Macaca mulatta: one gene and its partners. The protein of the gene in region 5 interacts with the protein of the main gene of each other region in a pairwise test. Links are inferred from orthologs where the notes say so. Each region holds a gene or a part of one and is shown on either strand. Other genes may lie near its edges. The genes, in order: CCDC136, ZBTB8A, NUTM1, CEP63, FAM161A, CADPS and VPS52.

Evidence for each region.
Region 1: the proteins of FAM161A (region 5) and CCDC136 interact in binary tests that used the Homo sapiens proteins (3 or more experiments, as listed by UniProt). The two-hybrid records come from large-scale screens. The link is inferred for Macaca mulatta from reciprocal best matches to the Homo sapiens genes FAM161A and CCDC136.
Region 2: the proteins of FAM161A (region 5) and ZBTB8A interact in binary tests that used the Homo sapiens proteins (3 or more experiments, as listed by UniProt). The two-hybrid records come from large-scale screens. The link is inferred for Macaca mulatta from reciprocal best matches to the Homo sapiens genes FAM161A and ZBTB8A.
Region 3: the proteins of FAM161A (region 5) and NUTM1 interact in binary tests that used the Homo sapiens proteins (3 or more experiments, as listed by UniProt). The two-hybrid records come from large-scale screens. The link is inferred for Macaca mulatta from reciprocal best matches to the Homo sapiens genes FAM161A and NUTM1.
Region 4: the proteins of FAM161A (region 5) and CEP63 interact in binary tests that used the Homo sapiens proteins (3 or more experiments, as listed by UniProt). The two-hybrid records come from large-scale screens. The link is inferred for Macaca mulatta from reciprocal best matches to the Homo sapiens genes FAM161A and CEP63.
Region 6: the proteins of FAM161A (region 5) and CADPS interact in a two-hybrid assay, tested with the Homo sapiens proteins (2 studies listed by BioGRID). The two-hybrid records come from large-scale screens. The link is inferred for Macaca mulatta from reciprocal best matches to the Homo sapiens genes FAM161A and CADPS.
Region 7: the proteins of FAM161A (region 5) and VPS52 interact in binary tests that used the Homo sapiens proteins (3 or more experiments, as listed by UniProt). The link is inferred for Macaca mulatta from reciprocal best matches to the Homo sapiens genes FAM161A and VPS52.

The regions. Positions count from the first base shown.
Region 1 is NC_133408.1:168,429,235-168,432,734, reverse strand, and holds part of CCDC136 (coiled-coil domain-containing protein 136), read right to left. Parts: coding exon 3,336-3,500; intron 3,245-3,335; coding exon 3,170-3,244; intron 1-3,169. UniProt on the Homo sapiens protein: May play a role in acrosome formation in spermatogenesis and in fertilization.
Region 2 is NC_133406.1:208,271,620-208,275,119, forward strand, and holds part of ZBTB8A (zinc finger and BTB domain-containing protein 8A), read right to left. Parts: intron 910-3,500; coding exon 577-909; 3' UTR 1-576. UniProt on the Homo sapiens protein: May be involved in transcriptional regulation.
Region 3 is NC_133412.1:11,547,552-11,551,051, forward strand, and holds part of NUTM1 (NUT family member 1), read left to right. Parts: intron 1-47; coding exon 48-176; intron 177-3,133; coding exon 3,134-3,270; intron 3,271-3,500. UniProt on the Homo sapiens protein: Plays a role in the regulation of proliferation. Regulates TERT expression by modulating SP1 binding to TERT promoter binding sites.
Region 4 is NC_133407.1:37,528,379-37,532,516, reverse strand, and holds the start of CEP63 (centrosomal protein of 63 kDa), read right to left. Parts: upstream 2,801-4,138; 5' UTR 2,763-2,800; coding exon 2,487-2,762; coding exon of another isoform or gene 2,429-2,486; intron 1-2,428. UniProt on the Homo sapiens protein: Required for normal spindle assembly.
Region 5 is NC_133418.1:62,881,968-62,886,081, forward strand, and holds the start of FAM161A (protein FAM161A), read left to right. Parts: upstream 1-1,314; 5' UTR 1,315-1,474; coding exon 1,475-1,657; intron 1,658-4,114. UniProt on the Homo sapiens protein: Involved in ciliogenesis.
Region 6 is NC_133407.1:126,458,317-126,462,303, reverse strand, and holds the start of CADPS (calcium-dependent secretion activator 1), read left to right. Parts: upstream 1-1,187; 5' UTR 1,188-1,538; coding exon 1,539-1,979; intron 1,980-3,987.
Region 7 is NC_133409.1:149,024,222-149,027,721, forward strand, and holds part of VPS52 (vacuolar protein sorting-associated protein 52 homolog), read left to right. Parts: intron 1-535; coding exon 536-654; intron 655-936; coding exon 937-1,060; intron 1,061-1,329; coding exon 1,330-1,425; intron 1,426-1,552; coding exon 1,553-1,660; intron 1,661-1,884; coding exon 1,885-1,950; intron 1,951-3,500. UniProt on the Homo sapiens protein: Acts as a component of the GARP complex that is involved in retrograde transport from early and late endosomes to the trans-Golgi network (TGN).

The DNA of each region.
Region 1 (3,500 bases), on a different chromosome or scaffold from region 5:
GAGGGCAGCCTCGGTCTCTCCCGCAGGGCCGTGAGGGATCTCACCCTAGAAAGCACTCTACTGAGGACTGGGCGTGGTGGCTCACGCCTGTAATCCCAGTACTTTGGGAAGCCGAGGCGGGGCGGATCACGAGGTCAGAAGTTCAAGACCAGCCTGGCCAAGATGGTGAAACCCCATTTCTACTAAAAATACGAAAAATTAGCCAGGCCTCCTGAACCCAGGAGGCGGAAGTTGCAGTGAGCCAAGATCTCACCACTGCACCCCAGCCTGGGTGACAGAGCAAGACTCCATCTCAAAAGAAACGAAACATCCTACGGAGGAGGGAAGCGCTGTAGAACCCTATTTTCCCAGGTAGTTCCTGCTACATCTGTGCTTCAATCCTGACTTTTCGCCAGTTCGAATGGAGGAATGTCCCTTCTCCAGGCAAAGGCCTTTTTTTGTACTGGATCTTTTCTTTCATTATACATGATCTAGCATTTCCTACCTTTGAAAAAAGAAAAGAAGTAATCTTTCGACCCTATTTCCCTTACTTCTCTGCTTCTCTTCAAAATGACTACTGGAGTTACCGGTACTCACCTTTTCCATTTCATCTCCCATGTCCTCTCTAAACCTAATCCAATCGGTGCCTCCATGCACTGAGATGTCTCTGGGTCCTCCCTCTTGCCAAATCCAAGACCATCTCACTTGACTTAGCAACCTGACACAGTGGATCATTGTCTCCTTGAAGCACTTTCTGCTCTGGCTTCCAGGGCATGACATGCTCCAGGAGTTCCTCTCACTTTACTCTTTTGTTCATTTGTCTTCCTATATTGGACCTCTAAATACTGGAGTGTCTCTGGGACTGGACCCTTTCTCCTCTTCTGGTGTCTCTCCATGTGACTGCACCATTACTTCCCATGGATTCGAATGCCAATTATATGCTAATGACTCCAAATTTACATCTCCGGCCCTGTTTTCTCCCTGGTTCCGCCTTTATATATCCAACTGCCTCAATATATTCACTTGGATGTCCACAGTTACTTCAAACTCAACAGTAGAAAACATGTCTTAAATGGCTCCCCTACCCCCAAAACTTACCCCTTGCCAAGTCTTTCCCAATTCAATAAACATCACCACCTTCCATCAATTTTCTCAAGGCAAAGTCATCTTTGATGTCTCTGTTGTCCCCTGATCCAATTCATTAGCATATCCCGAGGGCTTCACCTTCAAAATATATTCTGAATCATCTCCATTTCTACAGCCCTAACTCAAGCAACCATCATCTCTTGACTGGACTATTGCAGTAACTTGCTGACAGGACTCACTGTTCTGAGTCCCTTCCCTCCATCCTAAGTGTTTCCACTTAGTGGCCAAGTTCTCTTTTAAAAATGTAAAGCAGATCGTATCATCCCAGTCCTGGCTAAGACCCTCTCCTGGCTTTCCACCACACTTACATGAAAGCCAAGCCTCTTGGCTGGCCTATAAGATCCATTGTAATCTGGCCTCTGCCTGCCTCAGAACATTCTCTTACCAGGGTCCTCCACATGCACTTTGCTGCAAACACAGTGGCCTCTATTCTATCGCTCAAACAAATGAAGCTCATTCTCACCTCTGGGCCTCTGCAGTTGCTGTTGCTTCTGCCTGGTACGCTCCTCCCTCAGATCTTGGATGGCTGGATCCTTTTCATTATTCAGGTCTTAGCTCAAATGTCAACTTCTCAAAGATGACTTTCCTAACTGCCATATCTAAAATAAACTCCCTTCAAGACCAGCCTGGCCAACATGGTGAAACTCCATCTCTACTGAAAATACAATAATTAGCCAGGTGTGGTGGCACATGCCTGTAATCTCAGCTACTCGGGAGGCTGAGGCACGAGAATCGCTTGAACCCGGGAGGCGGAGGTTGAAGTGAGCCGAGATTGTGCCATTGTACTCCAGCCTGGGCAACAGAGTGAGACTATGTCTCAAAATAAAATAAAATAAACTCCCATCCCATCTCCTCTCTATATCATATTATTATGTCGTGTTCATAGCATTTATTGCCACCTGAACTTGTGTTGTTTATTTTCTGCCTCTCTCCATTAGAATGTACTCTTCATTAGGGCAGGGATGTGGTCTGTCTCATTTATAGCTGGTCCTCCAAGTATAAAGGCACCTCATAAGTAGGTGATAAATAAATTAGTCCCATTTTACAGATAAGAAATGACATCTCAGAAAGATAAGTGACTTGCCCAAGATCACACAATTTGTAAGTGGTAGAGCTGGGCCCAGGAATCTAGGTCATCCCAGACCAGTGCCCACACTCTTCCCTGTGTGACACGTTTCCTGCCACTTTCCTCCTCTGCAAGCCCCTTCATTGACCACCCTTCCTGTATCTACCTTTGCTTACATTTTCTGTCCCCGTCTCCTTTCCTCCCCCTCTCACACCTCTGCTTGCTACTGTCCAGGCCTGCTTCCCGGCCTTCCTTTTTTTTCTCCATTTATACTTTTCTTTTGGCTTGATCTCAGTTCTCCCCAGAGTCCCTGCCGTTTTCTAGGGCAGCTCCCCTAAACCTTCCGGAAGCCCACAAAAGTAACAAAAGCTGCCTCTTTATTTGGTGGTGCGGTGGAATGTGGGACACCTGCCTTGCTGCTTTCCAGAGACAAAGGGACGTGGGTGTTGGCAAAAAGGGATTTAGGGGCCACAAGCTCAGGTCCCAGGCAGCAAGAGAAGTGCTCTCATCTGCCTCCCTTAACAGGTGCAGAGAGGCCCCGCCAGTCACGTCTCATTGGCTTCATGCTTTCCCATGCTGTCCTTGGAGGAACCAAAAAAGGAATCTGGCTTGGAATTCAACTTGGATCACCCACCCCTGGCACTGACCAGGAGAACAAAGGGACAGGGATGCAGTATGAAGGAGGAGGCTGAAGGGGCAAGAGGAAAGAGCCCACCAGAGACAGGAGGTGACAAGGAGGTCAAGAAATGGAAGGAGAGGACAGAAGAGCCAGGTGGAGGTTTAAAGAAAGAAAACTGGGGACAGAGGAGGATGGAGAGACAAGGAGCGGAAAAGCGTGAGACTAGTAGAGGAAAATGAGGTGAAATTACTGAATTTGGTTATTTTTATCTGCTATGCTTCAGTCAAACCCTCAGGAAAAAAGTACTTAGGTGACCACTTGGATGGCCACCTCCCTCCGGTCCAAGCCCTGGGAACTACCTTGGAGCTGCTGAATTTGCTTGGTGAACACCTCTGCCTGCTGGGCGCTGGCTAGCCGTTCATCCTCCAGGAGCCCTGCAGGGAGAGGGGCACCAGTGTCAAGCTCGGATCCAGGGGAGTGCAGAGCCTCTGGGCCCGGGCACTGGGCCCTGGCCCAGCCACTTACCCTGTAGCTCCAGGGAGTCGTCCTCATGCTGCCCTGCCAGTTCCCGGGTCTCCTCCAGTTCTGCCACCAGCTGCAGCACCTGAGCCCGCAGCTCCTCCAGCTCTGTCTCCGTGAGGCTCAGTCCCCGGTGCTTGTTGACTGACAGAGAGCCAACACTGCCACCTT
Region 2 (3,500 bases), on a different chromosome or scaffold from region 5:
TCAAACATTTTAGTCTTCTTCCATAATCCTTAAACGTTCAGGATATCAGAGTAATGACAGATTGTTTCAGATCTCAAATTAATACAAAGACTAATTTGTCTAGTCAGGTGGGTTGCCAGATCTTTAAATGTGCTCTTAACTGGTTTCCTGTGAAATTAAACATTGGTTGTATATGTGTTTTTGAAACACCTTGAAATTGTCTTACATAAAGTTTGGATGTGGTGAATTTATTTAAAGTATTTTCTTTGAAAAAAGTTTGCTAAGTAGATCTTCCAATATTAAAAGAAAAAGGGTATCTCTGTAATAAAGAGGATTGTAATGAAAGTAAGAGGATAATTGTTCATCCATCATGCCAACTCAAGCTAGTTCTTTCTTTCCAGTGCAGCAACACATTTTAGGGCAACAAAGTTCAGAATAGATACAATGGCCTGTTCAGAAAGCATGCAAGTTATATCAGATCATTTCTTTAAAGTCAGTATGATAAATTTGTTAACTAGACTCTGACCACAGAAAGAGAGAGATACAGGAAGTCAATGTAAATTGCAGACATGCCAGCTCTGTTGGTTCACATTACAGCTACCTAATGTTGGGCTTAATTTCTTTTTCTTCTTCTTCTTCACTATCATCAACCTGTTGGATGACCAGATCAGCAGACCCATCTTCTACAATCTCCACATAGGATCTATTCTCATCTTCACTCAAGTGCCATCTGGAATCCTTATCTCCATCTGATGGGGACATAAGATGTTGTTCAGCTTCCAAGTCAATGGGGAGGCTGTCTATGCCAAATTCTGCAAGACACTCATTACACAGTCTGTAGCGCCTGGTTCCCTCCTGTACCACTTGCCCTGTTAGATCTGTCACATGACGTTTACATTTTCTGCAGATGAGTTTACATGCCTGGTGAATCTGTGTAGAGATTTAAATAGTGATAAAAGTGATTTTTCAAAAGCAGGACAGTTTGATATTTTAGGTACCAGTTCATAAACTTAAGATGTTCAAAGCCATGCATTAAACTCAAATTAACATCTATTATTAGAAAAAGATCAAGGGTTTTAGTGGCAAATTGATGTCACAGAAAAACATCAGCTTTCTCTAAATAGTGGCTATCATGTTTTTTATTATTAATATTACATAATAATTTCACTTATCCCTTAATCCAATAGCATTTGGGTATCTGAGGTAACAACAGGATACTTCCTATGATAATAATAATTGCAAACACTTACATGCACCATGCACTTATTTATTTTTATTATTTATTTATTTATTTATTTTTGAGACAGCATCTTACTCTGTCGCCCAGGCTGGAGTGCAATAGCGCAATGTCAGCTTGCTACAACTTCCGCCTCCCGGGCTCAAGCAATTCTCTTACTTCTGCCTCCTGAGTAGCTGGTATTACAGGCACACGCCACCATGCCCAGCTAATTTTTGTATTTTTAGTAGAGATAGGTCATGTTGGTCAGGCTGGTCTTGAACTCCTGACCTTGTCATCCATCTGCCTCGGATGCCCACAGTGCTGGGATTACAGGCGTGAGCCACTGTGTCCAGCATACTTTTTATTTTTAAGATAGGGTCTCCCTCTGTCACCCAGGCTAGGGTGTTGTGGTGACCATAGCTCACTGCAGCCTCAACCTCCCAGGCTCAAGCAATCCTCCCATCCCAACCTACCAAGGAGCTGGGATTACAGATGCATGCCACCACACCTGGCTAATTAAAAGAAATTGGCCGGGCGCTGTGGCTCAAGCCTGTAATCCCAGCACTTTGGGAGGCCGAGACGGGCGGATCACGAGGTCAGGAGATCGAGACCATCTTGGCTAACATGGTGAAACCCAGTCTCTACTAAAAAATACAAAAACCTAGCCGGGCGAGGTGGCAGGCGTCTATAGTCCCAGCTACTCGTGAGGCTGAGGCAGGAGAATGGCGTGAACCCGGGAGGTGGAGCCTGCAGTGAGCTGAGATCCGGCCACTGCACTCCAGTCTGGGTGACAAAGCGAGACTCTGTCTCAACAAAAAAAAAAAAAAAAAAAAAAAAAAAAAATTTTTTAGAGAAAGGGTCTTGCTATGTTGTCCAGTCTGAACATATCTTAATTTGAGGTGGTGGTGGGGGTGGAATCTCTCTTGTTTTGTGTATTAATTTTTTGTTATTTTACTAGAGAAAGATAAATATTGTAAAAATTTAAATGTATCAATATTTTAGATAGAAGGAGTACTTGCCATTTTTATTAATAAAAGATCTGCTGGAGAGAGGACCACACAGGGATTGGAAGGCTTGGGGTTCTAGTCATTTACTATCTTCGTCACTTACTAACCATGTATCTTGGAGCAAGTAATTTAAAACATTATATAAACTTGCTTTAGGGTGACAGTTAAAATATTTAACTGGTAAGATATGGGCACCACCCAGACAGATGAGAAACCTGACTAATTCTACTGGACACTCGTCATAAACAACTACTATGGTGCTGGTTCTACGTATCAGCGTAGTATTATCTTTGCTTGCTTCCTGTGGCTAATGGGAATACCACTCACAGGGCTAACATGAGGACCAAATGAGTTAACGTGTAAAATGCCTTGGTAAACAGCTGTAGTTGAGGAATAATTAGGTATTATAATTAGTAATAAACAACTTTGTTCAACAGCTGTCAGAACAGTAGATTATGGGTTCTAATCTAAAAATTATAAAAATTAATTGTATAGGCCGGGCACGGTGGCTCACGCCTGTAATCGCAGCACTTTGGGAGGCCGAGGCGGGCGGGTCGCTTGAGGTCAAGAGATCGAGACCATCCTGGCTAACACGGTGAAACCCCGTCTCTACTAAAAATCAAAAAAAAAAAAAAAAATTAGCCAGGCCTGGTGGCGGGTGCCTGTAGTACCAGCTACTCAGGAGGCTGAGGCAGGAGAATGGCGTGAACCCGGGAGGTGGAACTTGCAGTGAGCTAAGATTGCACCACTGTGCTCCAGCCTGGGCAACAGAGCAAGACTCCATCTCAAAAATAAATAAATAAATAAATAAATAAATAAAGTCAGGACAGTGTAGAAGTAGGCCACCAAACACAGTAAAAATACCCAAGAAGCTGGACACGGTGGTCCACACCTGTAATTCCAGCACTTTGGGAGGCCAAGGTGGTTGGATCACTTCAGGTCAGGAGTTTGAGACCAGCCTGGCTAACATGGTAAAACTCCATTTTTACCAAAAAAAAAATACAAAAATTAGCTGGGCATGGTGGCACACGTCTGTAATCCCAGCTATGCAGGAGGCTGAGGAAGGAGAATCACTTGAGCCTGGGAGGCGGAGGTTGCAGTAAGCTGAGATCGCGCCACTACACTCCAGCTTAGATGACAGAGTGAGACTCCATCTCAAAAAAAAAAAATCCAAGAAAGCTAATATAGCCTGGTAAAATATGTAGGAAAGCGTATGTAACTACCACTAGTACAGTTATTATCCTGTGCATAACTGTTGACATATTAATCAGTAAACACTGAAAGTACACGATTTG
Region 3 (3,500 bases), on a different chromosome or scaffold from region 5:
GATGGGAGCACACTTTCAGAATGTGACTGACTCAGTGGGGGTTTTAGCCCAGTGCTTCGTTCCCTGGCCCGGCGGAAGCCCACTATGACCCTGGAGGAGGGACTGCCATTGGCCGTGCAGGAGTGGGAGCACACCAGCAACTTTGACCGGATGATCTTTTATGAGATGGCGGAAAGGTGAGTTCGATGAACTTTCATTCTCCTGAGGGAGGCTGTGGGCTGAGAGCAGTAGGGGCAGCTGAGAGGCTCAGGTGGGGGCAATTATCAAAAGCTATGTTAGGGCGGGGCACGGTGGCGCGCGCCTGTAATCCCACCACTTTTGGAGGCTGAGGCGGGTGGATCACCTGAGGTCAGGAGTTCGAGAACAGCCTGGCCAACATGGTGAAACCCCGTCTCTACTGGAAAAAAAAAAATACAAAAATTAGCTGGGCATGGTGGCACGTACCTGTAATCCCAGCTACTCGGGAGGCTGAGGCAGGAGAATCGCTTGAACCTGGGAGGTGGAGGTTGCTGTGAGCCAAGATTACGCCACTGCAGTCCAGCATGGACGATAGAGCAAGACTCCATTTCAAAAAAAAAAAAAAAGATGTTAGGCTGGGTGTGTGCTTGTAGTCCCAGCTACTTGAGAGGCTAAGGTGGGAGGATGGTTTGGGTCCAGTAGTTCAAGACCAGCCTGGACAACATAGCAAGACCTCATCTCAAAAAAAAAAAAAAAAAAGAGAGAGAGAGAAAGAAAGGAAAGAAAAACAGGGTGGGGAGGGGGGTGTAGACTAGGATGGTGGTTTCCTGGATCCTTGCTTCTTCCTCCACCACCTTGACTCTTGGGTTTTTCTATCGTATTTCCTCTTGAAAGCTCCCCCGTCACCAGATCCTGAATCTGTATAGGAGCCTTGATACTGTAGATCTTAGGATGGGATTGGACCCCAATGGGTATAGCAATTTCATGCTGAAAGGACCTAGTAATGAAGAGGTATGCTCTACCAGGCAGGTTCTTGTTTCTTCCCACTGACTTGGTAGCAAGTGGCTATTGATACAGAACTTCAGGACCGCTCCTCCATTGGAAACAGTGGCACAGAAAATCCCTTTCCCCCTTTATCCCAGGGAGGGGCTGGTTCTGGAAGAGCCAGGGAAAGCCAGTGTCCGGGATGCCCAAAGTTGTCTCCTGGCTCTTATTCTATTTCTCTGTAATATCTTTGATTCAAAAAAAAAAAGAAAGAAAAAGAAAAAAAAAGGCCAGGCATGGTAGCTCATGCCTGTAATCCCAGCACTTTGGGAGGCCGAGGTGGGTGGATGACCTGAGGTCGGGAGTTCGAGACCAGCCTGACTAACATGGAGAAACCCCGTCTCTACTAAAAATACAAAATTAGCCAGGTGTGGTGGCGCATGCCTGTAATCCTAGCTACTCAGGAGGCTGAGGCAGGAGACTCGCTTGAACCCAGAAAGTGGAGGTTGTGATGAGCCGAGATTGTGCATTGCACTCCAGCCTCGGCAACAAGAGCGAAACTCAGTCAAGAAAGAAAGAGAGAGAGAGAGAGAGAGAAGGAAGGAAGGAAGGAAGGATGGAAGGAAGGAAAGGAGAGAAAGAAAGAAAAAACTCAGAAAAATGAACGCATTTTTCCAGGCTTAGCTTTCACTTGCTCCCTCCCAAAACCTTTTGGACCCGTGCTTCCTAGACTTACCTTTCCAAGAACCCCCATCCCAGTCTCAGGACTCTGGGATCTCAGCCTTGTCTCCTGGCAGGAACTGCCTTGAATTCTTTATGGTTGTAGGCAGGGGCAAATGAGGTCTCGAGGAGGATCCCACTGTGAGATCCCACCAGGCTGTTGCATAGGCCTGATTAAATTAAACAAGCGTATATTAAGCACTGCTGTGTACAATCCATGAAGCTGGGTGAGATAGGTATGGAAAAGAAGTGAGGCCAGGCACGTTGGCTCACACCTGTAATCCCAGCACTTTGGTAGGGCGAGGCAGGCGGATCATGAGGTCAGGAGATCGAGACCATCCTGGCTAACACAGTGAAACCCCTTAGCTACTAAAAATACAAAAAAAAAAAACCAAAAAAAAAACAAAAAACAGGCATGGTGGCATGCACCTGTAGTCCCAGCTACTCGGGAGACTGAGGCAGGAGAATCACTTGAACCCGGGAGGCAGAGGTTGCAGTGAGCCAAGATTGCGCCACTGCACTCCATTCTGGGCAACAGAGTGAGACTCCATCTCAAAATAAATAAATAAATAAAAAGTAGTGAAAGCCCTGGCTCTGTCCAAGAGAAGTTTACAAGCTCTAGATCATTCTTCTTCTTATTTTTTTTTTTTTTTTTTGAGACAAAGTCTAACACTGTTGCCAGGGCTGGAGTACAATGGTGCAATCTCGGCTCACTGCAACCTCTGCCTCCTGGGTTCAAGTGATTCTCCTGCCTAGGCCTCCTGAGTAGTTGGGATTACAGGTGCCCACCACCACATCAGGCTAATTTTGTGTATTTTTAGTAGAGACAGGGTTTCACTATGTTGGCCAGGCTGGTCTCGAACTCCTGACCTCATGATCCACCCACTTTGGCCTCCCAAAGTGCTGGAATTACAGGCATGAGCCATTGCACCCGTCCTCATACTTTACTTTTTAAAAATTTTTTTGAGGCAGGATCCCACTCTGTTGCCCATCCTGGAGTGCACTGGCACTGTCAGGGCTCACTGCAGCCTTCACCTCCTGAGCTCAAGCAATCCTCCCATCTCAGCCCCACAATAGCTGTGACTAGACGCACGTCACCACTCCTGGCTAATTTTTTTGTATCTTTTGTAGAGATGGGTTTTTGCCGTGTTACCCAGGTTGGTCTCAAACTCTTGAGCTCAAGCAATCTGCCCACCTCAGCCTCCCAAAGTGTTGGGTTTATAGGCATGAGCCACCCCACCTGGCCATTCATTTTCTTAAGCTTCCTAAGTGATGACTACAGGGGAAGGAACTATGTGCTGAGCTCCCGAGGTTTCCCTGGAAATATGGTTAAGCCACCTGTGACATGACTTAGGCAGACTTTGCCCGCCTGAGAGCACTTCCTTTCTTAGCCATGCTTGACTGTCGTCTGGATTTCTGACGGGTCTGGTCTCCTTCTTAGCATTGCCTATGCCTTTCTCACCCTCTGCAGGTTCATGGAGTTTGAGGCTGAGGAGATGCAGATTCAGAACTCACAGCTGATGAATGGCTCTCTGGGCCTGTCTCCTGCAGCCCCTTTGAAACTTGATCCTCTAGGGCCCCTGGCCTCTGAGGTTTGCCAGCAGCCAGGTGAGGCTACCCAATTTTGACAGGAGCCGAGGGCCAAAGGCTCAAAGGGAGGTGTACAGAAGCCAGTCACAGATTAGAGAAGGCATGGCCCAGGCTCTGCTGCTTTCCCTCTGGAGAGTGGCATTTGATATTCCAAGCAGACCACCCCATAGGAGGCTGGGTTCTCAGGTTCCTTTTGCCCTGAACTAGGTATTGATGTTGGTCAAGTAAACTAACTGCTCTCACCAAGA
Region 4 (4,138 bases), on a different chromosome or scaffold from region 5:
CAGGCTTGTCTCGAAACTCCTGACCCCGTGATCTGCCCGCCTCGGCTTCCCAAAGTGCTGGGATTACAGGCATGAGCCACCGCGCCCAGCCTAGGAACTGAATTTTTAATTTTATTTCACTTTAATTACCCACAGCTGGCTGGTGGCTACAATACTGGACAGTGCAATTCTACATCTAACTACTGGTTTAGAGCAGTGGTCCCCAGCCTTTTTGGCACCAGGGACCTGTTTCACGGAAGAAAATTTTTCAACACGGACAGGGTGGAAATAAAAAATTTTGTAAATATCTTTTTGTTAACATTCATATGAAATGTTTTGGGGGAGGAATGGCCAAACCACTTTTTATTTATTTATTTATTTTCTTTTTTTTGAGATCCAGTCTCACACTGTAGCCTGGTCTGGAGAGCAACGGTGTGATCTCAGCTCACTGCAACCTTCGCCTCCCGGATTCACGTGATTCTCCTGCCTCAGCCTCCCGAGTAGCTGGAATTACAGGCGCACACCACCACACCCGGCTAACTTTTTTGCATTTTTAGTAGAGACGGTGTTTCACTATGTTGGCCAGACTGGTCTCGAACTCCTGACCTCGTGATCCGCCCACGTCAGCCTCCCAAAGTGCTGGGATTACAGGCGTGAGCCACCGCACCCGGCCAACCACTTCTTCAGTAATATGAATAATACACATGGCAAGGGTTAGGGGCATGGTTTCATGATGAAACTGTTCCACCTCAGATCATGAGTCATTAGTCAGATTCTCATAAGCATGCAACCTAGATCCCTTGCATGCGCAGTTCACATTAGGGTTCATGCTCCTAGGAGAATCTAACCCCACAGCTGATCTGACAGGAGGCAGAGCTCAGTTGGTAGGTAATGCTCACTCGCCTGTCACTCACCTCCTGCTCTGTAACCTGGTTCCTAACAGGCCACGGACTGGTAGTGCTCTGCAGCCCCGGGTTTGGGGGCCCCTGGTTTAGAAGCCATAAAGGCAACAGAGATACCTGTTAAAGGATACTGTGCAATGTAATCTGCTAAATTTAGAACTGTAAGGAAAAATAGGGGCTAATCCCATAGCTATAGCTATGAGGGAACTGCTATAGATTAAAAGATGTCAAATATGCATCACCCAAACACAACAGGCAGATCCCTGTGGGATTTTGGTTCAAACAAGCTAACTGCAAAAAAGACATTTAAGAGAGAGTTGAAGAAATCGTAATCTGACTGGACATTGACATTAGAGAATTTTTATTAATTTGTGTATGTGTAATGACAGTAGTGTGGCTTTGCAAAACTGAAAAACCTAGCTCCTGACGGGGGCGGGCAGGGGACTAAAATAACATAAAGATCGGAAATTCAGTTCCTGAAACCTTGTGTCAATGTTGGCTTTAGCTGAATTCCAAATCAAGTTGACATTTTTTGAAAGCAGGAAGCAATGACAGAGTGGACTACTGATGCTGTCACCATCTGCCAGCACAACGTAAATTAGAACAGAAAGGACTAAGCAAAGGCATTCCACCTTTTAAAGAGAGAAAATGGCATCAGTACAATCAACATATACAATTTTTACAAACAACTTTTAGAGTTGCATCTACATACATTTTAAAAGGCAGTGTGCCTGTTTATAAATCTCTACCCCATTTTAGTTTCAGAGCCTTTTTTACTACCCTGATCACTGATCATGCCACAGTCAAAAGGCAATCTCAAAAATTAATCTAAAAATAGTACTGCATTCCAAATAAGAAAATATATATACTTTGTTTTACTATTAAGCTACAGCTAACAGAAATCTAATCAACGATCCTTATGATTTTCTCTTACCTAAAAAATAAACGCAAGCACGTGAGGAACTGTATAAATACAGAGCATCTACCCTACAATACTGCTTTATAAAAGAATAAATTCTTTTAATAAGTTTAACCGGACATAAAGCTCAGGGAAAACTACTTTGTGCATATTAGTGTACGGTGCTTAAACTATACAAGATGACTAGTCTCTGACATCATACACATCTTTACTCTCCTGATGTCGTATACGACATAAAAAAAACCACATTATAAGCCTAAATGTACTGTCTTCAAGTATCTCCATGATTAAAGTGTTCCTAAGAAACCGTCCTTGTTTCTTTCTATCCCTGATCTGTGTGCATGGAGCAGTTAGTTCAGGGTTCTCCAATTTCAGTCCACGATTTCTGCCATATTTCCGTACCTGCTGTACTAAACATAACCGTTTACACCAACTCACTATTTTAAAAGCTGCCAACCTTAACATGCCACCCTAAATGAGCGGGTCCCCTTGTGCCGTGAATGAAGTAGTCCTAACAGCGCTAGCTAAACAGCAGCCCTGGCCGGGAGGCCGCACAGGGGTCCCTCCGCTGAAAAGAAAGGTGGGTCCGCCGGGAAAGGTGAGTACTGGGCGCAGCTCGCCCGCCCACCTGGCTACTCTCCGAAGCGCCCCCAGCCACCCGGCCTCCGAGGAAACGCTGTGACCACCTGGCGGGGCCGAACCGCGCGCCGGGCTGCGCCATGCCGGACTACGCCGGTGTGCAGGGCATAGCGGGCCAGGCCGAGGGACGGGGCTCCGGGGCGGACGCGAGCCGGCGGGGAGGCGCCTGGTGGTTCGCAGACTGTTGCGCGAACCGGCCGCAAGCCATGAGGCCGCGAAGCCAGAGTCACCAAGGCAGCCTGGGCCGCCTCCGGACCAGGACGCGCTCGCCCCTTGCGCTTCCGTCTTGCGCACGGGCGGTTACACGGCTGCAGCAAGCGCATCCCTCAGCCTTCCCGCCGTTACCTCGGGCGTGCACTGCGCACGCGCGCCACCACTAAGCTTACGTCCAGCCTCAGCAGTCGGAGCGTTCGTTCCGCCCACTGCCCCCACACTTTTAATAATTGAATCAATGTCTTCTCCAGACTTCCCCTGCACGCGAGCAAATGGACTCACCCACATCCGGGAATCCGAGAAAGAGCGTGCAGACACGTGATGCGGGGCGTGGCAGGAGGAAGCGTCTGCCGCGCTGGGCCGCGTAACGGTAAGGGTTTGCAGCGCCCCCGGCCTAGGTTTTGGAGGCGCGGGAATGCGTTCGTGGCTCAGTGTCGGACTTCCCCCTATTTCCATCGGCCGAGGCTGTCACTTTACGCTCATAACCGTTTTCTTTACTGCACGCTGTGTCGGGAGGAAAGGGACTTGCTTGGCACCCCAGACCTCCCCGTCTCCGCTTCCACGTTTGGTACATCCTGCGTCAGGCCGGAAGCCGCGGCTGAGGGGCGGCCTCTCGTACAGTGTGGTGGCCTGCGAGGCTCATTTCTAGCAAGGAACAATATTTTCCCGCTTTGACCTTACAGATACATGTTTACAAAGCTATAATGTATAGAAATGGATAAGACATGTCCCTGTCCCGGGAAACGCAGGCACTGCGTGTCTGGAAAGACATACATCTGGGCTGTTTGACAGGCTACCTAGTTGGTGCCATGCTCTGTGCTTAGGGAACTATGAGATCCCCGGTGGGTACTGGGACCGCGCTCAGCCTGAGGTTTGGAGGCGGCCTCCTACAGGAAGCGACTTGAGACCTGAGATTTTTAGACTGACTATGGGTTCGCTGGAATAAAAAGGAAGAAACAAACAGCATTGCAGGCATCGGGACTGTCACGTGTAAGAAAAGTTTGTTCAGGAAACAGTGGTCGTATTGTGTGACGAGTATTTGGGACGGTGGCTGTGCCTTGGGCATTGATTAGATTATCTTGTTGCTTTCCATCCTTCCAGCCCCTTAAGAGTGAAGGCACCTTCACGCCTAACCCCGGAAATGGGATGTTGACCTCCAAGAGCTGACGCCTGCGTTGATCTTGAAAGGAAGAGTGGCATTAGTGATGTGGAAAGGGGGGTTTTAACTGTCAAGGCTGGAAAATGTGACAGGGTTTGAGGTGTTTGGAGAAGGGACAGGTGAAAAAGATTGAGGCCAAATTGTAGAAAGATCTACTAAGGAATCCTGGGTACAAAATGTACACATAACAGTTGGAGACAATAATACCTGAGCAATTGATCACAAAGCTTGTTTAGTAGATTTAAGTTAGGACAAGAAGCAAGAGTTCAAGGATAGAAGGCCTACTGAAGCTCGAGTGATCTGAGAAAACCTTACTAAAAGGTGGAA
Region 5 (4,114 bases):
GTGCTCTAATTCCTTATCAATACTTTTTTGTTGTTGTTTTTGAGACGGAGTCTTGCTTTATTGCCCAGGCTGGAATGCAGAGGCAAGATCCGGGCTACCTGCAATCTCCGCCTCCCGGGAGGGCGCCTGTAATCCCAGCCACTCCGGAGGCTGAGGCAGTTTTGTAGCCACAAAACTGGCTGCCGTGACTGACTGGAAATTGCTCCCCTGGACACTTGGCCATACCTGGCGGTCCATATCCCATGGTTCTAGCTCTGGCTTCTGCTTAGAACCCAGCCAGCATCTGTTCCAGCACTGGAAGGAACTGTTTAGCCAAAACAAAGAGCAGCCTGAAGGAAGTGGGGACGTGGGAGACTTTGCTGGCGCTCACACCCATACAGGAGAACAAAGGTTTGGTAAGGGCTCAGACCTTAGAGATGGATTCTCGACGATGTGCAACGCATAACGAGGAAAATACTGACCGGAGGGGGCCTGTCCTAGGGCTGGGGAGCGGGAGGAGGGCAAAGGATAGAGAGGGGTAGATAGGGAGGGAGTAGATAGGGAGCGGCAGCCTCGGCCTCAGTAAGCAGGGGCTTATGGAGCAGATGCCTGAGACTGCACCACGTCCGCTATTTTGAGGTTTGGCTTCTCTTACGACCACGTGGTGCAGAGGGAAGGCGCCATTTGATGCGTCCAAATCCCGAGTGGAAAGAGAAGATACGGATGAGGGAGATGGGTGTGTCTGTGATGACTCTTGGGCACTCGCGCCGTTCAATCCTGTCACTCTCAAGCTGATGAACCCAAAGCAAACGCCAGGTTTACACTACCTGCACCCTCACTCATTAGTGGGAGGGTCAGGCACCACCCAACTCTGGGCTTTTATTGGTCAGGCCAAGAAAAACGCTAGAGGGACAACTGGGAGCCTCCTTCTGATTGGTGGATTCCTACTAGCCCTCAAGTAAATCAGAGTAGAATGCACCTCCCTCCTTCCCACGCTGGCTCCCGCGGGAGACATGTTAGGTAGCGCGACGCCAACCTTGCCACTCTTCAGAGGCCGCCACCCAGTAATACGCCCTGCTTTCCTCCTCCGCCGCCGTCTCCTCCATCAACCGTCTCCTTCTAACATATTATTGCAGTTAATAAAAAAGCGCTCTTTTCTTCACAAAAGCAGTTGTTTCATTGTATAATGTGAGAAGTCTGCGTTCAGGCGGTTAAACGCAAAGGAGAGGAAAAGTGCCCTGTTCAGCCTGCCAACCTTCGGAACCAGCAAACAGACTCGGTACTGACCGCCATGATCCAGTAAGCACCCGACTCGGGTCTCTGGCAGCCTGAGAGGAGTTTTTGTGACTTTTGGTCCCTGGCGGCTCCTGTAGTGTCCCCAGTTACGGCGCCCATAGCAACCGGCTCCCTAGCTAGGAGCCCCCGGGTCGCCAGGGACCGCACCAGCTTTCCCGCCCCGGGCCAGCGCAGGCGCTCAGGTCCCGGAGGCGGGGCGATGGCCGCCTCCCACCGAGCGGCAAAGCTGGTGGCCTCCAGTCTCCAGACTCCTGTAAATCCCATCACTAGAGCGCGGGTCGCCCAGTACGAACGCGAAGACCCCTTACAGGCCCTGGCGGCAGCAGAGGCGATCTTGGAGGACGAAGAGGAGGAGAAAGTGGCGCAGTCCGCTGAGGCGTCGGTAATACTGGGGCGGGACGTGGGTTGGGACCTCGCACGGGCTGGGTGCTGGCTGAGGGCTGTCCGGGTCCCCGCCCAGCTGAGGGCAGGCTGGTAAACGCGGGACCCTGTGCACATACTCCCTACTTGGTGGTCCTGGCCCAGCCCCTTCTCTACGCTCACGAAAAATACTCTAAATCGAGGCGTTGAAAAGTGTTTTAATTTTCACCAGAGAGTCTGTTGTAAAAGTTTCCTAGACAACATTTATGTTACTCTGTTTCTGGCGAGTGCAAAGTATAGAATTTTACTCTTTACTCTCTAGCATCTCGGGAATGGATGGATAGATAGATAGATTTTATAATTTGAGGAAAACTGTTCTGTCAGGTGTGTTTCGTTATTACCTTAAGAACTTGGTTATAAGTGGATCTCAACATAATGCTGGAGAGAGGCGTGTTTAAAACCATCACGTGTTCACTGGCTAAATCAGACACGGATACAGATAAGCAAATCACTGAGGTTTCAGTGTTTCCTAAACGGCTCTTTAGGGTACAGCGAGACAGCCTTTTCACTGATCAGTTTTCAGTGTTAAATCTGTTGTGGACACCAGTCTAGCAGGTGGAGGGCAGGGTCTGCCATCTGCTCTATTCACTTAAAAGATGGGAATCTTGGCTGGGCGCGGTGGCTCGTGCCTGTAATCCCAGCACTTTGGGATGCCGAGGCAGGCAGATTACGAGGTCGGGAGTTCGAGACCAGCCTGACCAACATGGTGAAACCCCGTTTTTACTAAAAATACAAAATTTAGCCGGGCATGGTGATGCGCGCCTGTAATCCCAGTTACTCGCAAGACTGAGGCAGGAGAATCGCTTGAATTTGGGAGGCGAGGGTTGCAGTGAGCTGAGATCTCAGACCCAGTCTCAAAAAAAAAAAAAAAAAAAAAGGAATCTTGAATTTAAACTAGCAATCTGCAGATAGAAAAAGTTTCTTTTTTTTTTTTTTTTGAGACGGAGTCTCGCTCTGCCGCCCAGGCTGGAGTGCAGTGGCCGGATCTCAGCTCACTGCAAGCTCCGCCTCCCGGGTTTACGCCATTCTCCTGCCTCAGCCTCCCGAGTAGCTGGGACTACAGGCGCCCGCCACCTCGCCCGGCTAGTTTTTTGTATTTTTTAGTAGAGACGGGGTTTCACCATGTTAGCCAGGATGGTCTCGATCTCCCGACCTCGTGATCCGCCCGTCTCGGCCTCCCAAAGTGCTGGGATTACAGGCTTGAGCCACCGCGCCCGGCCAGAAAAAGTTTCTTAATACCATGTGTCCAAAGCTTCTCAAACACAAAACTTATGATTGAGGACTAGTTGAAATCCCTGGATATTTTGGAATTCTAATCTCTTTAATCTACCATAAAATTGTTAATGAAAGCATCTTTAGCAACACCTTTTGTGACCAATCTTTCTCCAGTAAACAACTTGAAGTTATCCAGAGTAAGGTAGACTGAGACCCTGAATGTGAACCAGGATCAGAGTGCTAGGACTGATTTTGTTCATTATAACCTACCCCTCAACACAATTTTCAGTAGGCAACAAGGCAGCGTGATGGAGAAAAACTATTTAAGAGTTACATATTAGGATCCATTCCCTGCCACTCCCTAGGTGGTGTTAGGACACACTTTCTTTAAATCTCGGTTTCCTCATCTGTAAAATAACTATAATAATTGTCTCTTTTTCCCATCTCAGCTCTATGAGAACCAAATGAAAGAATGTGTGTCTCCTCTAAAGAGCAATCTATATAAAAGAGTAATCTATATAAACGAGATGCCAGTGGGAGTGTCATTTGTGTGCCTTCCCAAAGATTAAACTACTTTGGCTTGCTGTGGGAAAGGAGTCAGTCACTTCTAAGTTGCAGATATGCTTCCAAAGTGCCCTGTTAAACTACAAATTTGTTTTTTTTTTTTTTTTTTTTTTTTTTTGAGACGGAGTCTTGCTCTGTAGCCCGGGCTGGAGTGCAGTGGCCGGATCTCAGCTCACTGCAAGCTCCGCCTCCCGGGTTTACGCCATTCTCCTGCCTCAGCCTCCGGAGTAGCTGGGACTACAGGCGCCCGCCGCCTCGCCCGGCTAGTTTTTTGTATTTTTAGTAGAGACGGGGTTTCACGGTGTTAGCCAGGATGGTCTCGATCTCCTGACCTCGTGATCCGCCCGTCTCGGCCTCCCAAAGTGCTGGGATTACAGGCTTGAGCCACCGCGCCCGGCAACTGCAAATTTGTATTAGAAACTGTTATTACCTTAGGAGGGATCAGTTTATACAATAATCTAGTATGGAAAGGACAGGATCCTACAAAAAACAGAAGGAATCCAAGTCTTAAGAATCTGATACTGTTCTGAGACCACCACACATGAGGGATCTAAAAGTAAAGCTGGGTAAGCTGCCACAGTGGGTCTGATAGCCAGGCGCACAGGGCTTGGGGAAGAGGCATTAAAAAGGCAGGAAGAGT
Region 6 (3,987 bases), on a different chromosome or scaffold from region 5:
TCTGCAGGTCTCAAACAGGTCAGTTTACTCTCAAAGCTTACTGTGAAACTCATGGTAAATTATAAAATACGTAAAGACAAACGTGATTTAAACTTTAAACTCATTCTACACTATTAAAGTCACTCCCACGAGTGTCCACAGATAATCAGGGAACTAGAAAATACATAAATATAGGCGATGAAGTGGGGAGGTCTCTAGATAGCCTAAGTTCTGAAGGTGGCTGGTGGTTTGTTTTCATCCATCTGCGGGTCGCAGGTTACATTCAGCACGCTGGCCAGCTCCCTCGTTTACTGGGTTTATTGGCCTAAGTGAAAGGAGCAGGGGGAAGGCAGGCACCATCTGCTGCTTTGTATTAATAGTTTACCCAAGAGGCAGGGGTGAAGAGAGTGCGACAGTCGACGCATTAGATGTTGACGCCGCTGAGTTCTTAGGGTGTCTTTGTCTGATCGCAGGGTCCCCAAGCCTCCACCGAGTCAGAATGGAGAGAGGGTTAAGCAACCAGAAACCCTTCTATTTCTCTAGTAGGCTCACCTCAGCAGAAAGCATTCCCAGGTCTTAGGAACTGAAGAAGATTCATCCTAGATTTTGGGGGTGGGGAGTAGGCAAGGGCGGGGGCGCTACACAAATGGTTGAGTTGCCCGGTCGAAACACCAATCCATTCAAAATTTGATTAACTTATAGTTTAGACTGGGCGCATGCGGAATAAGTCGCTGGAATCAGAGTTTTCACAGGTGGGACAAATACGCTGCCCAGCCCCCCTCCCCCCACGCCCCAGGTGTAAAGAAGCCTGGGGAAAGGAGATGGACCCTTTCTTTCCCGCATAAGATCTCACGGACTTCCTCCTCCTAAGTAAGACCTCTCGATTTAGCGTCTCCAAACAGCCCGCTCGGCTGGTTTCCGGATTTCTCCCTCCCCCAAGAACTTTTTGTCCGCGGGAGGGGAAATGGGGTTGAGGCAATGAGAGCCAGAGATCAAGAAAAAAAATATCCACGAAGCGGGCAGGGGAGGAGGGTGGCAAGGTATTGGGGTCAGAAGTACTGAGGCTCTGAGGACGTTCCGCGCTCTCCCCGCTCCAGCCCTCTGCACCAGCCCTTTACGCCGCGGACACGGGAGAGTTAAGCCAATAAACACGTAAGCGCCGCTCCCTCCCCAATCGGCAAGATGCCTCTTCGGCTCTTGGCTGCATCGACAGCTTGCAACACTCGGCATCTTTTCTGGAGGCGCCTCCTTCAGCGGCCGCAGATGGCATCCGGCTGCGGGCTCAGGGCTTGCAATTGATTCTCCCACTTGCCCACCTCGAGTCCACGGACGCACCTCTCCCTTCCCCTCCTCCCTTTGCGCTCCTGGGTCTGAGCCCAGCTCGCGACCGCCGGGCAGAGGATCAGTCGCGGCGGCCGAGGCTGAGCAGCAGCCCTCTCGCTCCCTGACCTGGGGAGAAGCGCCCACCCGGGAGATCTGATCCCCGGCTGCCTCCAGCGCCCCCCACCTTTTGCACTCCAAACCGGGGGCTCCAGAGACCCCGCTCCCCAGGCGCCACTATGCTGGACCCTTCGTCCAGCGAAGAAGAATCGGATGAGATCGTGGAGGAGGAAAGCGGCAAGGAGGTGCTCGGCTCGGCCGCGTCCGGCGCGCGCCTGTCTCCCAGCCGTACCAGCGAGGGCTCCGCCGCCAGCGCCGGGCTAGGGGGCGCCGGCGCCGGCGCCGGAGCCGGGGTGGGCGCAGGCGGCGGCGGGGGCAGCGGCGCGAGCAGCGGCGGCGGGGCCGGGGGGCTGCAACCCAGCAGCCGCGCTGGCGGCGGCCGGCCCTCCAGCCCCAGCCCGTCGGTGGTGAGCGAGAAGGAGAAGGAAGAGTTGGAGCGGCTGCAGAAAGAGGAGGAGGAGAGGAAGAAGAGGCTGCAGCTGTATGTGTTCGTGATGCGCTGCATCGCCTACCCCTTTAATGCCAAGCAGCCCACCGACATGGCTCGCCGGCAGCAGAAGGTAGGTGCGCCTGGGAGGCCCAGGGAGCAGCACCCGGACGTCGCCAGGCGGGCGGGGCGAACAATGGGAGCTGGAGGCGCAGCTGGCGAGGAGGAGCAGGAAAGGTGGAGACCGCGCCCTGGGGAAAGGGCTACGAGGCCCCTTCCCAGCGGCCGGGCTCGCCGAGGCCCGGCCCAACCCAGCCTGGAGCGCTCCTGGAGCTGCCTGGGACCGGCTAGGGCCGCGGAGCGCAGCGCCGCGTGCCCGAGCTCCCCAGCCCGGGAGCGTTGGGGAGAGCGAGGCAGGCAGGTCCCGCTTTGTGGCCCGAAAGGCTGGGGGAGTGACTTGCAGCCCGCGGCGCCCAGAGAGGCCTTGCTCGCTTGCAGGGCTCCCAGCGCTCTCCAGCGGCGGGCGGCTGCGCTCAACTCCGGGCCCGCCCTCCTGGGCGTGCGATCGGCGGGCGGGGGAAACGGCAGGCGGGGGCGCCGAGGTGGAGGGAGAAGAGCGTCTTGGAGCAGCGCTCCGCTCGCTGGGGCGGAGAGCAAGCGCAGGGGCAGGCGGGAGAAAGCAAGCCCGGAAGGCGAAGCTTCCCGTGACTCTGCGAAGGGCACTCTCCTCTCCCTGCCCGGGTCAGCCGATCACCGACTAGCGTCGCCAAAGGGTCCTGGGGCACTGCTTCCTTATGGCTGGAGTTCTCTCCAGTCCCCCTGACCCTTCCTCACTGACCCCAGTGCAGGGGCACGCCTTCTGGTCCTTCCGTCCGGGTCAGCCCCTCCGCCTTCCTCTCTTTGACCCTCTTCTCCTCTTCTCAAGGTGACTTCGCCGCCACCTTCTGGCTCGCCTGGGTCCTCCAAACCCTGCCACTGCTGCCTTGATAAAGTACAGCTGCAAAAAGCCTCGCAATCAGAGGCATCAAAAGCTTTTTCTGTCTGAGGTTGGGGCAAGGCTGAAGCAGCTCTGGGCTGCCTTTGATTTTTTTTTTTTTTTTTTTTTTTTAAGGCGCCTACTTCTATCAGCTGTTCTTTAGCTGGAGGAAGGGATGAGGGGTACTGAAAAATGAGGGGCAGTGGCGGAGGGTGGCGGCAGAAGAGAAGCAGTCAGGCACCCCGTTGAAGTGAGTTAGTGAAGAAAGTCAGCGTTCTATTCTCTCTCTTAAATAAATTTGCAGCACTTGAGCTATCAGAAAAGCCAGTCAGAGAGGCAGTGTGAGAGGCCAGTCGTAATCCCATTAAGATTGTGAGACTAGTGTCTTAAAATAGTGAATTTTTCGGTTGCTGCCATTTATGACCAAATAACATGTTGCTGTAGTAGCATTAGGTTTTCCACATTTCTCCACCCTTACCTTGAGTTAGCACAGATTTCTGTTTGTTTTGCTTACATGTGTACACACACCACCCAGCACTGATAATTTATTTCAGCCATCATGAGCTTGGATATCGTTTCATTAAAAGATAAAACTCATTTCCAGGGTGAGAGACAGGAGGTGGGTTACACACACGGCTCTCCATCTCTATCTGTGGCCCCTTGTTTTTTCAGTTCGTATTTTGGACTGCAGTAGAGCAAAAGTATCCTCAGAGCAGTAAAAGTTTTTGGGACATTATTTTAAGGTTGGATGTTGAGTTCACGGGGCCTAATGTTTCACATTTCAGTTTGGAATTCCTGTTGTAATTGTGTCTTTATAGCATGGGAACTTCAGCTTCCAAAATCTATCCCAGTAATAACAGCACCAGCCAAAAATATCCCATTCCTTTGACAATGAAAACTGTGACTTTAAGTGTTAGGTTGAAAGGGGTGGGGGGTGGGGGTGTCTAGACACATTTATCAAAGTCTCTAGAGCGCTGTCCTTTAAATAGATGCTTAAGTCCAGAGCTAGCATGGAGAAAGAAATCCCACAGAGACACATTCTTCTAAACAGAACCTTCAGCCACCTTAGAGATCATTATGAGGCCAGATTTTTCTGATCTGATTGTATGTTTTACCTGAATCCACGCAAAGCTGTGGTTTTGAGGGGCATGCTGGTTCTATTTTT
Region 7 (3,500 bases), on a different chromosome or scaffold from region 5:
AAGTCAAAAACGCCGGGCGCAGTGGCTCACACCTGTAATCCCAGCACTTTAGGAGGCTGAGGTGGGCGGATCACCTGAGGTCAGGAGTTCGAGACCAGCTTGGCCAACATGGTGAAACCCCATCTTTACTAAAAATACAAAAATTAGTCAGGCGTGGTGGCAGGCGCCTGTAATTCCAGCTACTCAGGAGTCTAAGGCAGGAGAATCGCTTGAACCTGGGAGGCAGGCGGAGGTTGCAGTGAGCTGCGATTGCGCCACTGCATTCCAGCTTAGGCGACAAGGGCGACAAGAGCGAAACTCCATCTCAAAAAAACAACAACAAAAAAAGCCAAAAACATAGATCCTGGTGGGTAAGGCAGTAGGACCACCCGGGTGGCAGTGGACAGGAAAGCAGGGGGCAGTTGCATTTTACATCTCTCCCTTCTGTCCTATCCAGTGCATCATCCCCAAAGAAACACATGCGTTTGTTCATAGTCACTGAGGAAAACAAACTGACATTCTCTTTTAATCCTCTGCTTGTTCCCCAATCACATAGAAACACCTGGAGTCCTATCTCGCTGACTGCTACGATGCCATTGCTGTTTTTCTTTGTATCCACATTGTTCTCCGGTTCCGTAACATTGCAGCAAAGAGGGATGTTCCTGCTCTGGACAGGTCACTGAATTCTGGTCCTTGATGCCCAACAGGCCACAAACTCTTGGTCTTGCATGACTCTGCCCTGACCTTAGACTTCTACTGACCTGGTATCATTAACCTTTATTCCCATTGATTTGCTCCAGAGGCAGTACTGCTGCTTTTTGACTCACCTTTCTCCAACCACTGCCCCCCCATCCCCACAACTAACTGTTGACCATTAAACTGAATGGTGCCCCACTCCCCCCCATCCCTCTCCAACATTCCTTGCCGGCTGACCTCATATTCTGATTAAGCCCACAGGTACTGGGAACAGGTGCTTGCCTTGCTATGGCCACGGTTTGAGCTGATCCTGGAGATGAATGTCCAGAGCGTCCGAAGCACTGACCCCCAGCGCCTAGGGGGGTTGGATACTCGGCCCCACTATGTGAGGGAGGGCAAGGGTAACAAAGGGTTCTTGAAAGGCAGGGCTCTAAGCATCATTGTGGGGTTGGCCACGGTCACAGTTGTGTCATGGGCCACGCTATGAGCAGGCATTCTGGGAGGGTGATAAAACTCATGGTGAGTGGTGCACTGTGGGTAGGAGGGACTGGAGGTAGAGTCACATCACATGGTGGCGGGTTGACCAAGGGAGTTGGGAGGTGGTGGTGGTTGGGCCAGGAGGTGGGTGTGATTTTCCTTCCCACCCTGTCCTAGATCACACGCCGCTACGCAGAGTTCTCCTCCGCTCTTGTCAGCATCAACCAGACAATTCCCAATGAACGGACCATGCAGTTGCTGGGACAGCTGCAGGTAAGGGTCAGACAGGAGAGACTTACCAGCAGCAGGGCTGTGCCAGTGGGTGGAGGCCGAGGGGGAGCCAGAGGAGGGCCTGATGGCCTTGCTTTCTGGTGTCACCTCTTCCTCTCTGCCTTTTCAGGTGGAGGTGGAGAATTTTGTCCTTCGAGTGGCAGCCGAGTTCTCCTCAAGGAAGGAGCAGCTTGTGTTTCTGATCAACAACTATGACATGATGCTGGGTGTGCTGATGGTAATAGGTGCTCCTTCTCCTTGTCTTCCTACCCAGAAAATTTGGTTTCCCCCACTGCTTTGTTAGCTCTGTGAGGGCAGAGACGATGCCTGTCTTGTTCAGCGTTTTACTCTTGGAGTCTGGCACAGTGTCCAGCTTAGTACAATAAGTGTGGAATGAAGGGGACATCCTGAAGTGAAGGACTGCTTTCCCCAAACTTGACATTTCCCTTTGTCTTCCCTTAGGAGCGGGCTGCAGATGACAGCAAAGAGGTTGAGAGCTTCCAGCAGCTGCTCAATGCTCGGACACAGGTAGGGGTGTGGGGAAAAGGGAAGGGACAGCTTTGTGTGCTGTTTTCAGCTCCTGTGTGTTTGTGTGTGTGTGTGTGTGTGTAGGGAGTGGCATAATGGACCTCAGGTACATGGAATTACTGTAACTCTTGATCCACAACATACTGTCATTATTGGTCTACTTTATTTTATTTTGTCTTTGGTTTTGCTTTTTTTTTTTTTTTTTCCTTTTTTGAGGCAGAGTCTCGCTGTGTCACCCAGGCTGGAGTGCAGTGGCATGAACATGGCTTACTGCAGCCTCGACAGCCTGGGCTTAAGCGATCCTCCCACCTTAGCCCCTGGGTAGCTGGGACCACAGGCATGAGCCACCACGCCTAGCTAATTTTCTATTTTTAGAATGAATTTTATTTTTTTCTTTATCCATCCCCTCAAGCACTTATCCTTTGTGTTATAAACAATCCAGTTACACTCTAAGTTATTTTAAAATGTACAATTAAGTTATAATTGACTATAGTCACCCTGTTGTGCTGTCAAATAGTAGGTCTTATTCATTCTTCCTATTTTTGTTTGTACCCATTAATCATCCCCAGCCTTCCACTAGCCTTCCCAGCCTCTGGTAGCCATCCTACTCTCTTCGTACATGAGTACATGAGTTCAATTGTTTTGATTTTTAGATCCCACAAATAAGTGAGAACACATGACATTTGTCTTTCTGTGCCTGGCTTACTTCACTTAATATAATGATCTCCAATTCTATGCATGTTGTTGCAAATGACTGAGTCTCATTATTCTTTATGGCTGAATAGTGCTCCATTGTGTACATGTCCCACGTTTTCTTTACCCATTCATCTGCTGATGGACACTTAGGTTGCTTCCAAATCTTAGCTATTGTGAACAATACTGCAACAAACATGGGAGTGCAGATACCTCTTCAATGTATTGATGTCCTTTCTTTTGGGTATATATCCAGCAGTGGGATTGCTGGATCGTATGGTAGCTCTACTTTTAGTTTTCTGAGCAACCTTCAAACTGTTCTCCAAAGTGTTTGTACTAATTTACATTCCCACCAACAGTGTATAAGGGTTCCCTTTTCTCCACATCCTTGCCAGCATTGTTATTGCCTGTCTTTCGGATAAAAGCCATTCTGACTAGAGTGAGATGAGATCTCACTGTAGTTTTAATTTGCATTTCTTTGATGATAGTGATGGTGAGCCCCTTTTCATATATGCCTGTTTGCCATTTGTATTCTTTTGAAAAATGTCTATTCAAATCTTTTGCCCATTTTTTAATAGGATTATTAGACTTTGTCATGTAGTGTTGTTTGAGCCCCTTATATATGCTGGTTATGAATCCCTTGGCAGATGGGTAGTTTGCAAATATTCGTTGTCTCTTCACTTTGTTATTTCTTTCGCTGTGTGTGCAGAAGCTTTTTTTTTTTTTTTTTTGACACGGAGTTTAGCTCTTGTTGCCCAGGCTGGAGTGCGATGGTGCGATCTTGGCTCACCGCAACCTCCGCCTCCTAGGTTCAAGCAATTTTCCTGCCTCAGCGTCCCAAGTAGCTGGGATTACAG